Linked DNA regions of Oryctolagus cuniculus. The protein of the gene in region 1 interacts with the protein of each later gene in a biochemical or structural test. Links are inferred from orthologs where the notes say so. Each region holds a gene or a part of one and is shown in the gene's direction. Other genes may lie near its edges.

Region 1 (3,500 bases):
AATGGCTTGTATTAGAAGCACTTTAAAAACTGTGAGCATGTGGGGCCAAGTGATGACTGTCAAAGTAAGCTCGCGGAGCCATTTGAAGGTGAGGAAGAATCTTGGAAGAGGTGCATGCTGGGTCCCGGGTCCCCCCACGAGCTCAGGGCGGTGGGGTGCAGTCTCCCTGGAAGCATGGGCACGCGGCACGCTACAGCCACGGCCCACAGTTGTGTTCCGGAAAGAACCTGGTGCTGAGGGTCCCGGCTCTTTGCTCTTCCACGTCCAGCAGCCCCTGGGCTTCTTGGTACCTCGTTTTCTCCATCTTTAAAGTTAGATGATCCTATTGCTATCAGATTGGCCTCCACCACCATCACCCCCAACCTACCCCAAAGAAGCAGTACTTCAAGATGGGGAGTTATTGCTATTGTTCTAAGGGCCTTAGAGCTGGGAGCAACTCACAGACTTGGGAGCCAGGGTCATGGACAGGGCCCCGTCCCCCATGTGCTGGGGGTACAGGCAGACCCCCTTCCATGTGCTAGGGGCACAGGCAGACCCCCTCCATGTGCTAGGGGCACAGGCTCCAGCACCGACCAAGCTACAGGACAGACATGGGCCCTGCATCACCTGCATCTCCTTTTGGTCTTCAGTTCATTGTTGAGCAAATTCTTTGAGAGCCCCTAGGATCCAGGCAATTAGGACATTTAAAGAAATTGAGGGGCCAGTGCTGTGGCGTAGCAGGTTAGGCCGCTGCCTGCAGTGCCAGCACCTCATATGGGCGCTGGTTCTAGTCCCGGCTGCTCCACTTCCAGTCTAGCTCTGTGCTATGACCTGGAAAAGCAGCAGAAGATGGCCCAAGTCCTTGGGGCCTTGCACCCACGTAGGAGACCCGGAAGAAGCTCCTGGCTCCTGGTTTCAGACTGGCCCAACTCTGGCCATTGAAGGCATTTGGGAAGTGAACCAGCGGATGGAAGACCTCTCTCTCTGTCTCTCCTCTCTCTGTGTAACTCTGACTTTCAAATAAATAAAAAAAAAGAAAGAAAGAAATTGAAGATGAAAGATAAAAGCAGAATTCCAGCAGGCTGAGCAGGAAAGAAATGCCTTTGCCCCGCCCCTCCCAGCCCCGTGGCCTTGCCTTCTGCTCTCTTCCAGTCTTCCCCGTCTCTCAGTCCATCGCGCTCGGCCATAGCGCTCGCCGAGTCCAGGGCCCCGTCTGCAGAACTTGAGCGGCGATGACGTTTGCTGAGGACAAGACCTACAAGTACATCTGCCACCACCACAGCAGCTTCTGCCGTGTGGATGTTCTAGAGATCCTGCCTTACCTGCCCTGCCTTACGGCAAATGACCAGGTGAGCCCAGCCCCCGCCGGTTCACCCCAGCCAGGGCCAGCTCCTTCCTTGCCCCTCGTGGACCAGGGGTCTTCAAAAAATTCCTAGGAAACGCATATTCGGAAACCGCCCACATGTGGATTCCAAACCTTCCTGCACCTACATACACTTGTCTTTCTGATGTTTCTGCAAACTTTTCCCAGGCCCTGTATGCCGCCTCTTGTCCCTGCTACTTGGCGCACTGTGTGGTGGGGTTGGCTTTGCCAGCCTCCCCGGCTCCCTCTTGTGTTTGATTTCGTGTAGTGCTTCGGCTGGCTCCGGTCCCACTGTTCTTCGGAGCCCTCTCTTCCCTTCCTCTAGTCCTTGTCCTGCCCAGATTTGATTCCATTCTCCTCGTCCCAGGACCCTGCCCCACGGGCCCCCATGGTTCCAACCGCACCCAGCACAGAGAAAAACGCCCCTCCCCATTTCAGCTGCTGTCTCCAATGGGAGCCCTGCGCTCTCTTTCGGGGTCTCCTGTCTTCAGGCGTCTCAGGGCTGATGGGGTTTGACCCCTTCCTCTTGTATGTTGCATCTTGAAGATCCCTTATCGCTTAGCAACCGTTTTCTGTGTTTTGCTTCTGTTTTGTGGCTTGTTTTCATTTTGCTCTGGGGGGGGTTTCTGGTCCCAGGGCTTTTGCAGGCAATACATTTTGCTTCTCATCAGCAAAGGAGAGCTAATTACAGGACACTCAGAGTCCACTTCCCGGCAGCTGCAGTTGGTCGTTGGCTATTGGCTGCTGCTCATGGCTCTTCCTCATTCTGTTCTAGGGCCCTGATCCTGGCTTTGTCCTGGGCCAGGGTCCAGTGTCCAATGGCTGCTCCCCACTGGGGTCTCTCGGTGCCCCTCTCTGCAGTTGTCACATGCTGGGTGAAGAGGCAGCCAGCGACAACTGGCTTGAGCACGACTCCGGGGCTGTGTCTTCCAGGATCGGCTGCGGGCCTCCTACACGCGCCTGGGCAACCGAGACACCCTCTGGGACCTGTTCAACAGCCTGCAGCGGCGGACCGGCTGGGTGGATTCCTTCATCCGGGGCCTGAGGGCCTGCGAGCTGCCGGAGCTCGCTGACCAAGTGGCTGGCGAATATCAGCGCCACCTGCCTCGTGAGCGTCCTGCCCTGGCCCCGAGACCCTGCCTGCTTCCTCTGCCTTCTCTACCCTCGCCTCTCCCTCCTTGGTACCTCCTGCCTTTGTCCTCACCCTCCCACCCGTCTCCTGCCATCTGTGGGTGAACCCGAGTGTGGAGCCTGGCTGAGCCTTGGGCTTTCCCTCTGTAAGATGGGGCTGATGGCAGTTTCTGCACTGGGCAGATTCTGCGGGACGGTGCGTGTCGAAGGGGCCGACTCCTCTGATTTGTCGGGCTGTGTTCTTTGCCTGCTGCCTGCTTCTGGCCTCCGGGTTCCTTCCTCTCCACACCCACGTGTCCGCCCTCCCTCTCTCCACTTTACTTCCCCTCCTCCTGCTCCCCCTGGAAGCCTTCTAGCCCTCACCCCAGGCTGCTCCGTTACCTCTCAGCTCCCTTCCGCTGCCCCTTCCTGGCCCTGGTGCTGGGGGCATTTGGCATGGTCAGGAGAGGAGAGGGCCTGGGGGAGGGAGGGAACCAGCCTTGTTCATACCAAGGGACTTCAGGAAGCTCGTGGAAAGAACAGTTTGAAAGACACGTTTATCTTGGTGCCCCCCCAAAAAAAATTAAATCCATGCAGTTTTTATAGCATGCATTTCTTTCTTCCTTCCTCCCTCCCTCCCTCCTTCCCTCCCTCTCTTTTCTTTTTTATTTTTTCTTTCCTTCCTTCTTTCTCTCTTTTGTTTTCTTTCTTTCTCTCTCTTTTTTCTTTTGAAAGGCAGAGTTACAGAGGGAAAGGGAGAGACAGAGAGAGAGAGAGATCTTCCATCTGCTGGTTCATTTCCCAAATGCCATCAATGGCCAGAGCAGGGCCAGACTGAAACCAGGAGCCAGGAGCTTCTTCCAGGTCTCCCATATGGGTTCAGGGGCCCAAGCACTGGGGCCATTCTCTGCTACCTTCCCAGGCGCATTAGCAGGGACCTGAATCAGAAGTGGAGCAGCAGCCAGGACTCGAACCAGTGGCCAGATGGGATGCAGTGACTTTACCCACTATGCCACAGTGCTGGCTCCCATAACATGCGTTTCTGTGA
Region 2 (4,002 bases), on another chromosome or scaffold:
CTACACTGTAAACTATGAGCTCTGCAGCCATGTCCGTTGGTGAGACCCATCCTTGGCCCCAGCACTCAGCCTCCTCTCTGCCTGGATCTCCAGGGTGCAGTCAGTCAATCTGCCACACACACAACTACTGTGCAAGAAACAACTTAGAGAAACCAAAGAAAAGATGCTGTGCTCCATCTGATGATGCATTCTCCGAAAAGTGGGACATGAGCAGAGCAGGAACTCAAGATCTGAGACTCAGCAGAGACCTCGGGAGCTGCTAGCAAAGCCACAAGGTCTTGGTGGAAACCCCTGAATTCTCCCCAGTGGCGAGGAGGAAACAATTAGCTGACAATACTGCTACTTGCTCTCACTTGTGTGTGGAGCGTAAAACAGCTGAACTCATAGAAGCAGAGAGTAGAATGGTGGTTACCAGTGGCTAGGGAGGGAAATGGGTTAGGGAGATGTTGGTCAAATGATACAAAATTTCACTTAAGAGAAATTGATTCAAGATTTCTATCATACATCATAGTGATTCTAGGTTTATCTGTATTCTTAAAAATTGCTAAGGGGTGGATTCTACATGTTCTTACCATCTTAGAAGTAAATGAGCAAGAAAACAATTGGCCTGAAATGCATTGAGGCTACTACTCATTCACCAGATTGAAAAAGCATCCTTAGGGCCAGCACCATGGTGCAGTGGGTTAAAGCCCTGACCTGCAGTGCTGGCATCCCATATGGGCACTGGTTGGAGTCCCAGCTGTTCCACTTCTGATCCAGCTCTCTGCTATAGCCTGGGAAAGCAGTCCTTGGGGGACCTGAAAGAAACTCCTGGCTCCTGGCTTCATCCTGTCCAGCCTCAGCTGTTGTGGCCATTTGGGGAGTGAACCAGCGAATAGAAGACCTCTCTCTCTCTCTGTGTCTCTCTCTGAACTTTGTCTTTCAAACAAAAAAATAAAAAAGAGACTTCTTAATATTTGAGTGCTACCTGAAACCTGCTTCTGAGCAGCACAGCATGACAGACTGGCACAGAAGTTTTGGTTGCAGACTTAGAAAGGGATGGGTCCACCCCCCAAGTGGAGTGTGTGTGAACGGCTGACTTACTGTAAGTACTTAGCTGGACACACCTGTTTCAATAAAAGGTTAAGACTGCTCAACTAGCCACTTCCTTGTAATAGAAAAGAATCAAAACAAGCCAGCAAGTGCAGAGAGTGAGACACAGCCCAGAGGGAGGAGACTTCAGAGGTAATTGTGCTGCCCTTTCGGGATGTGAGAGTAAGACCTACCTTGAAGTTTGTGGCTTGACTGTCCCATTCCAAGGCCTTGAGACAGGACCTAACAATGCATTCCAACATCATACTATGAAAACACGTTGAATCATTTGTGGAGAGAGCAAAGTAAGTTTATTTTGGTGCAAAAATCTTTTTGAAATTCATGCGGTTTTTTTTTCATGATATTCACTTTCTTTGAACTTTGTGAAGTACCTGCATATTTTATGAATTTGTAAAAGTGATATTTTAATTCCAGTTAGGATTGCTGTCTCTATTTCAGTTTTCTCTACCACAGTATCCTTCTATCAGTGACATTTGGGGGATCGAGTTGAAGGGAAATTGAGTTGGGCTTACACTGTTTGGGTTTACTAAGTTATGTGGTTCAAAAGCACTTCCATATATAATCAAGTTATTGCTGTCTGTCTCAGTGTAGCAATGTCTTCTGGGAACACTGCTACCACCAAGACAACTCATTTGACATGAGACTGAAGTGCAAGGTTGGAGGACCTCCAGAATAAGAACATGTCCCATCATATGAGCTGCCAGAAGTATGTAGACAGTGAAGACAAGCTATCCTTTCAATCCTTAGATGCATAAAATTTAAGTCTAGGGTTCAGTCTCATCAATATCTAGTCAAAGTAGAAGTGCTTTTCTTCAGGAATATATTTGACAATACAACATATACAATTATACATATATCAAAAAATTAAATATTTACATGTTTCAACATGAATTCAGTAGAAGTTATCCTGATTTCAGACAGAGAATTAAAAGAATACAAACTTTTTAGTTTCAAGCAAAGGCGTTAATTTTTGGAGGGAAAAAAATGATTTTAATTATAAAAATAGATGCTTAGTTTTTTTCTAATCAATTGGTGAAGAATGAATTTTATAAAACATTGAAATTTTGAAATATTTCTGGTTAACTTGATATAAAATATTGATATCTACAAACATATTTTCATAGTGCATCTTTACAACAAGGTAGATGACCTTCAGTAATGTATTTAAGGTGAGTCACTGCTGTGAAAATTTGAAATGCCCTGAAATCTAAGGGGCACTTAAGAAGCTTTTAACACTAGCCAGTGCTATGGCAGAGAGCGTAAAGCCACCGCCTGCAGTGCTGGCATCCCTTACATTCATCAGTTCAAGTCCTTGCTGCTCCACTTCCAATTCGGCTCTCTGCTATGGCCTGGGAAAGTAGTAGAAGATGGCCCAAGTCGTTGGGCTCCTGCACCCCAATGGGAGATCCAAAAGACGCTCCTGGCTCCTGGCTTCTGGCTTCAGATAGTGTTGTGCCCAGATCATTAGATCCCCGCAGAGACCCCCAGAGAGTCGATCACACCGAACTGCAAGAGCAAGGTTTATTCGGGAGTACAAGCCACGACAGGGACCCCATCCAAGCAACTGGCACAGCGGAGGAAGGAGTGAGGCCCCGGTCTTTGTTTGGGAGAGTTTTTAAAGGAAAAAAGGGATACATCAGCAGGAAAAGAGTTACATACAGCACAGAAGCTTTGGGTTCAGGGAGTTACAGCCGGGGCTGACAGCACAGGAGCTCTGGGCGCAGGAAGTTACTTTGTTCAGCAATCTCTACTGTGCTGTCCTTGATCTACTGAGCTAGCTGTCCCTGGTAAGCTTTGATATCTCTGGGATGCCTGAATGCCTGCTTTCACAAGGACCTGGGTCTGCTATGGGAAACGGAGGCTGCTTTTTTTATTGTTTTAAAATGGAGTCACTTTGGCTCTTCATTCCCCTATTGATTTTGTGCATGTTTGAAGAACCCAATCATGGGTTTTGGACAGACATTTTATAGGTTTTACAAACATTGAAGGGTTTATATTGGGACCGTTGGACCATTAATTGAATGGTGCCCAATCTCTGTTTCATAAACTGTATAAGTTTGTTAACAATGGAAGGGCTGAAGGTTAAAATTAAAATCAGGAGAACAAGGGGCCCTATGAGTCCTGATAGTAGGGGGCTTGCCACGGAGAAGAATTGAACCAAGACTCAAACCACCCCTGAGAGGCCTCCTGTTCTCTTGTTTTGCCAGCCCTCCCTGACCTTAGCCAGTCATGTTATCTTTTATTAGGCCCGAGTGATGGGCATAAAAGCAGCATTCTTTCCCAGAGTGGTGCACAGCCCACCACATTGGTCCCAGAAATCCAAGAGGTGCAGAGGGATGACGATCCGTCTTCAGAGTCACCCCTGCTGTCGTGGAGCAATGAGGCACTCTTCACTGCCATGGGGCGATGTCTTAAGCCACTGTCTCCTGGGTGGGGAGCCGAGACATTCCTGTAGTAGCATTTGGTTGACCGCCTGGTTGCCGAAGGCCTTGGTTCACTCCATCACCAGCTGTAAACACTTAAACAGACACTGTAGTATAGAGACAGGGTGAGGATAAGGCAGATTCCAGCCAAAACTGGGAGAAAAGCCACTCATTAGTGTGGGAGAGGATTATCAGTACACACATGTTGGGAGTATAAGTGGCAATCCACTACAGAGAACAAAGAATTTACAGAAATTTTTACTGTTTAATTTCTGCTCTACTTTTATACACAGAATAATGACTAGTTATTTGTAGCATGTCTTTAACTTTTTAACTTTGTGCATTTACTTTTCCTCAACAAGGCAGAGCTGCTGTTGCTATTTGTAACTGAGACAGCAGTTGATACTTAATAGGAAACACTGCTCACAGAACTGTATTCCCTACTAGCCAAATTTACCTAATAATGAATTATTTTGATAATGGAGAG
Region 3 (4,275 bases), on another chromosome or scaffold:
AGCTGCCCTCCGGTCAATCTGTTACGTTTCAAAAGGATTCCGAGTAGTTTTAGATTCCAGATTGTGGATGGGCCACCAGTAACGTTTGTACCAATATTCCACAATCCAGAAAACTTCCCAGATGGGAAGCCCTTCTCGTCCCGGGCACCTCGGGACCTGCGGACTGATCCCAGCACGCGTCGCCCAGCTGTCCGGGCTCACCGACCACAGCTCTGCCGGCCGCGCCGGCGCAAGGTGGATGGCTGCGCACCACCTCTGCCGCACTGGACCAGGAAGGGAACGGTCACACGGCTGCGCAGCCAAAGCGTCCAGGGCTCCGGCCTCCCTGTCGGAGGTGCTGGGGGCTGCACAGTCCAACAGGGCGAGACCCATGTGGACCGGGAGAGGTGCAGGGGGGCCGCGATCGCTCCCGCTGTCCACCCGGAGAACTGGGGGGCGGAGCCGGAACCCGGCACTAGGACCGCATCCTGCCTGCGGTCAGGAAGGGCTTACCCGGCTCCGAGCCATAGCAGGGGCGGAGGGGCAGGGAGGAAGGCCGAGGGGACTCAGGGGGGGCGGCTGCTCGCCCCAGGGGGCACGGAAGACATCTGCGGAGGCGGCTCAGGAAGTCTGTCGGCTCCTCCGGGGCGGGGTTCCTGGGGAGGGGGACCTCAGAGTGACCCCGGGGGGCCCCTGGGGACAGTCCCTCGTTCCTGCCCACTGAGGATCTCTCCCTCGCTGGACAAAGACGGACTGAGAGCGAGAGGGGGTCCCTCTTACCTGGGAGGGGTGGGGCTGGGGGCCTCGGCAGCCTCGCCCCTCCTGAGGAAGGCAGCCAGGACCCTCAGCGTGTCCTCGCGGAGCCCCAGCTCCTCCGAGCCCGCCATGGAGGCACCTGGGGGAGGGGAGGCTGAGGAGCTGGCGGCTGGGGCCCAAGCCCCCCGTCCCTGAATGAAGAGAGGCCCAGGAGTCCTGGGCCCCAAAGGGAGGAAGGCGCTGAGGGCCTCGGGGAGGGTTCAGGGTTGAGGGACCCAAACTCTTGAGTCCCCCAGAGGGAAAAGTGCGATGAGAACCAACTGCTTTATCCCGGAAAAGGAGGGGCCCGGGGCTGGGATTCCTAGATCCAAGGGAGGAGGGGGCTGGGGGCCCGGACTCCGGGGTCCGCGAGGGGAAGGGGGCTTTCTCGTGCATGCTGAAGTTAGCATATGCCAAGCTTAGCCGTCCTTAAGGGACCGGGAACTACCAATCCCAGCAGGCCCCGCAGAGGGCGAGCGCGGGGCGAAGGGAGTGTTTGCCACGAAGCCTGCTGGGAGATGTAGTTCCGACCACCACGCTGGCACGTTGGGGACCCCCGGCCCTGGGACATCGGAGAAGCGGCGCTGAGGTACCGCTCCAGGGTCCCGGCCCGATTCACACTTTATCCCAGCCAAGGACAACACCCCACTCACCTGGCCCAGCGCCCCGCTGCCGCAGCCGCCTCCCTCAAGTCACACAAACTTTTCTAGTAGGTCAACTTTCCCGCGCCTGCGCACTGGGCCGGTTGGGTAACCGCCCCCAACGTGGAAGGGGCGGGGCGCTGAGTGCCGCCTGATTTGCATATGACGTTCCCAGCATGCCTGTGGCCGGAAGACCGAAAAGGGGCGAGACGGGTACGCTCTGGGCTGCAGGCGGCCTCTTTGGCTTTGGAACTTGTTACCTAGAGGATGTTGAAATTGCTTTTATTTCAAGAGATCGATAGGAAAGACAGCCCCGGCGCGCTAAAGCTCAGCTGACAGGACACAAGCTGCGCAAGTTCGAGCTTGAGAGCTACCCGGAGCCCAGGGCCGGTGGGCGTCCACCCTGCGCGCCCCGACCGTAACGCGGAAGAGTTCATTCCAGAGTGGAGAGGGGCGCGCGCGCTGGCGGGGGCGGGGGGTCGTGCCCGAGCATCGGCGCTGGAAACGGGTAGGGGGCTCCCTCGTGGGGGAACCGTGGAAGGCGGCCCACAGCGCGGTGGAATCGGGGATGCCGGCTTTGGATCAGGAAAAGGGGGAGGTCTACACTGGCCGAGGCGAGGGCGTGGAGGCTGGGTGTCTACAGTGTGTCTGGGCTGGAATCCTCGCTGAATCAGGGAGTCTTTCCGGAGGATGGGAGAGGAGGCCCCCTGTTTGTACACCAGGCGATTACGGGACGCTGCGACCCGTGGAGGGAGCCTGGGTGTGGAAGTCCTGGGCCAGGTAGGGCAGGAGAGGGCCCACGCCCAGGAACCTCCCTGTCCGCGCAGGCGGGAGCATGGGGACGCAGAAGCCGCGGATCCTGCCCTGGCTGATCCAGCAGCTGGACCTGGGGCAGCTGGAGGGCGTGTCGTGGGTGGACGAGCACCGGAAGCGCTTCCGGATACCTTGGAAGCACGGGCTGCGGCAGGATGCGCAGCCGCAGGACTTCGGCATCTTCCAGGTGCGCGCGTGCTCGGCTGGGAGGGGCTTGGCCCTGTGGCACCTGCTCCTAAGGCGACGGGTGTGGGGGGGCTGGTGCTGGGGAGCAGGCAGTGTGGGAGCGGCCCGGTTCCAGTTATCAGGGCCAGAGCCCCAAGGAAACGCATTCTGGTGCCGGCTGAGTCTGGCTTTGATTGTTGAATTCTGGGAGTGGCCAAAGCTGGGGTTCCTAACCACCAGCTTAGGATACACAGCGTCGGGGGCGGAGCTGAGGCTGTCCTGGGACCCGCAGAGGCAGGGAGACACCAGCGGGGCCCGGAAGGCTGGTGTGGGAATCAGTGGGTTTGACAGCTGCAGGCAGGGTGTAGGGGTGAGGCTGGATTATAGGGAAGCTGGGCACGTGGGGAATCCGAGAATCGGGATGGAACCCGGGCGCCAGAGGCTGCAGTGGGGGCGAGCCTTGTGTGAAGTGAGGACCCCAGGGCAGGGTCTCATCCTCCTCCCTGGTGTCCCGGCACCGCTGGTGCCCTAGGCCTGGGCAGAGGCCAGCGGCGCCTATACTCCCGGGGATAGGCCCGACCTGCCAACCTGGAAGAGGAACTTCCGGTCCGCCCTAAACCGGAAGGAAGTGGTGCGTTTAGCTGAGGACCGGAGCAAGGACCCTCACGACCCGCACAAGGTCTACGAGTTTGTGACCTCAGGTGTGCCAGAGCAGGGTTCCCCACGGAGGGCCGGGATGTCCGGTGCCCAGCACCCCTCCGCCACCATCGCCTTTCTCAACAGGAGCTGGGGACATCTCTCCCGAAGTTCAGGGGGACAGTACCTCTGAGAGCCAGGTGAGCATGCACCCCTCCCCGTCGTCCTGGCCTGGCCTCACCCCCCCCCCCCCCGGCTCCCAGCCCCCTGTGGCTGTCCGGCAGCCTCGGGCATCGGAGCGCCCACCCCACCCTGCCAGGATTTCATAGCTTTCCTCGGATAATGGCGCCCTCAGCCTCTTGAGACCTCAACCCCTCCCCCTCCCCCTCCCTTGCTGCTGTGCCAGGGACACGCCCCCTCTGAGACCCCCGTCTGCCAGGCGCTCAGGGGCGCGGCTGCGTCTCCCCCAGCCTGGAGCTCGTGGAGGGCCGAGGGGTCCCCGCGTGGCTGAAGTCCCCAGGAAGGGCCGCGGCGCCCAGCTCCGTCTGTCCCTCCAGGAAGACGAGCTGGAGCAGCTCCTGGGCGACATGGGCCTGGCGGCCGGCCCGGACGAGGGGCCCTGGGCTGGGGCTGTGGCCCCTGAGTGCTGCCCTCAGCTCTTGCTGAGCCCTCACCTGGACCACCCCGGCCCCTGCCCGCACCCCGCACCCCCTGAAAACCCACTGAGGCAGCTGCTGGTGCCCGAGGAACGTAAGTGCCCGCGGAGGGGCGGGAGGGGCCGCGGCCAGGGCTCCGGGCCTCACTCTCTCCCCGCCCTTCACGCCGCCCCGCAGAGTGGGAGTTCGAGGTGACCGCCTTCTACCGGGGCCGCCAGGTCTTCCAGCAGACCATCTGCTGCCCAGGAGGCCTGCGGCTCGTGGGCCCGGAAGCCGCAGCCAGGACGCTGCCGGGGCAGCCGGTTGCCCTGCCGGACCCCGGGACGGCCCTGTCTGACGGGAGCGTGAGCTGCTACGTGCGACGCGTGCTCCAGAGCCTGGAGGGGGGACTGGCCCTGTGGCAGCTGGGGCCTCGGCTCTGTGCCCGGCGGCTGGGGCACTGCCACACCTACTGGGCCGTGGGGGAGGAGCTGCTCCCCAACAGCGGGCACGGGCCCGCCGGCGAGGTCCCCAAGGACCAGGACGGAAGCGTGTTCGAGCTGGGGCCCTTCGTGGCAGGTGAGCGGGCGACGGGCTGAGGCGAGCACGGG

Evidence for each region. The genes of interacting proteins can lie anywhere in the genome.
Region 2: of the proteins of MAVS (region 1) and TRIM31, one has a biochemical effect on the other in vitro, tested with the Homo sapiens proteins (2 studies listed by BioGRID). The link is inferred for Oryctolagus cuniculus from reciprocal best matches to the Homo sapiens genes MAVS and TRIM31.
Region 3: the proteins of MAVS (region 1) and IRF3 form a complex in vitro, tested with the Homo sapiens proteins (2 studies listed by BioGRID). The link is inferred for Oryctolagus cuniculus from reciprocal best matches to the Homo sapiens genes MAVS and IRF3.

The regions. Positions count from the first base shown.
Region 1 is NC_091442.1:29,181,353-29,184,852, forward strand, and holds part of MAVS (mitochondrial antiviral-signaling protein), read left to right. Parts: intron 1-1,131; 5' UTR 1,132-1,211; coding exon 1,212-1,328; intron 1,329-2,275; coding exon 2,276-2,450; intron 2,451-3,500.
Region 2 is NC_091436.1:140,344,601-140,348,602, forward strand, and holds the start of TRIM31 (E3 ubiquitin-protein ligase TRIM31), read left to right. Parts: upstream 1-1,202; 5' UTR 1,203-1,376; intron 1,377-4,002.
Region 3 is NC_091449.1:7,838,163-7,842,437, forward strand, and holds the start of IRF3 (interferon regulatory factor 3), read left to right. Parts: upstream 1-1,475; 5' UTR 1,476-1,591; coding exon 1,592-1,628; exon of another isoform or gene 1,629-1,923; intron 1,924-1,961; exon of another isoform or gene 1,962-2,105; coding exon of another isoform or gene 2,106-2,242; coding exon 2,243-2,415; intron 2,416-2,925; coding exon 2,926-3,094; intron 3,095-3,176; coding exon 3,177-3,229; intron 3,230-3,499; coding exon 3,500-3,779; intron 3,780-3,862; coding exon 3,863-4,243; intron 4,244-4,275. Other genes in the region: BCL2L12 (bcl-2-like protein 12), read right to left, coding at 493-635, 760-866.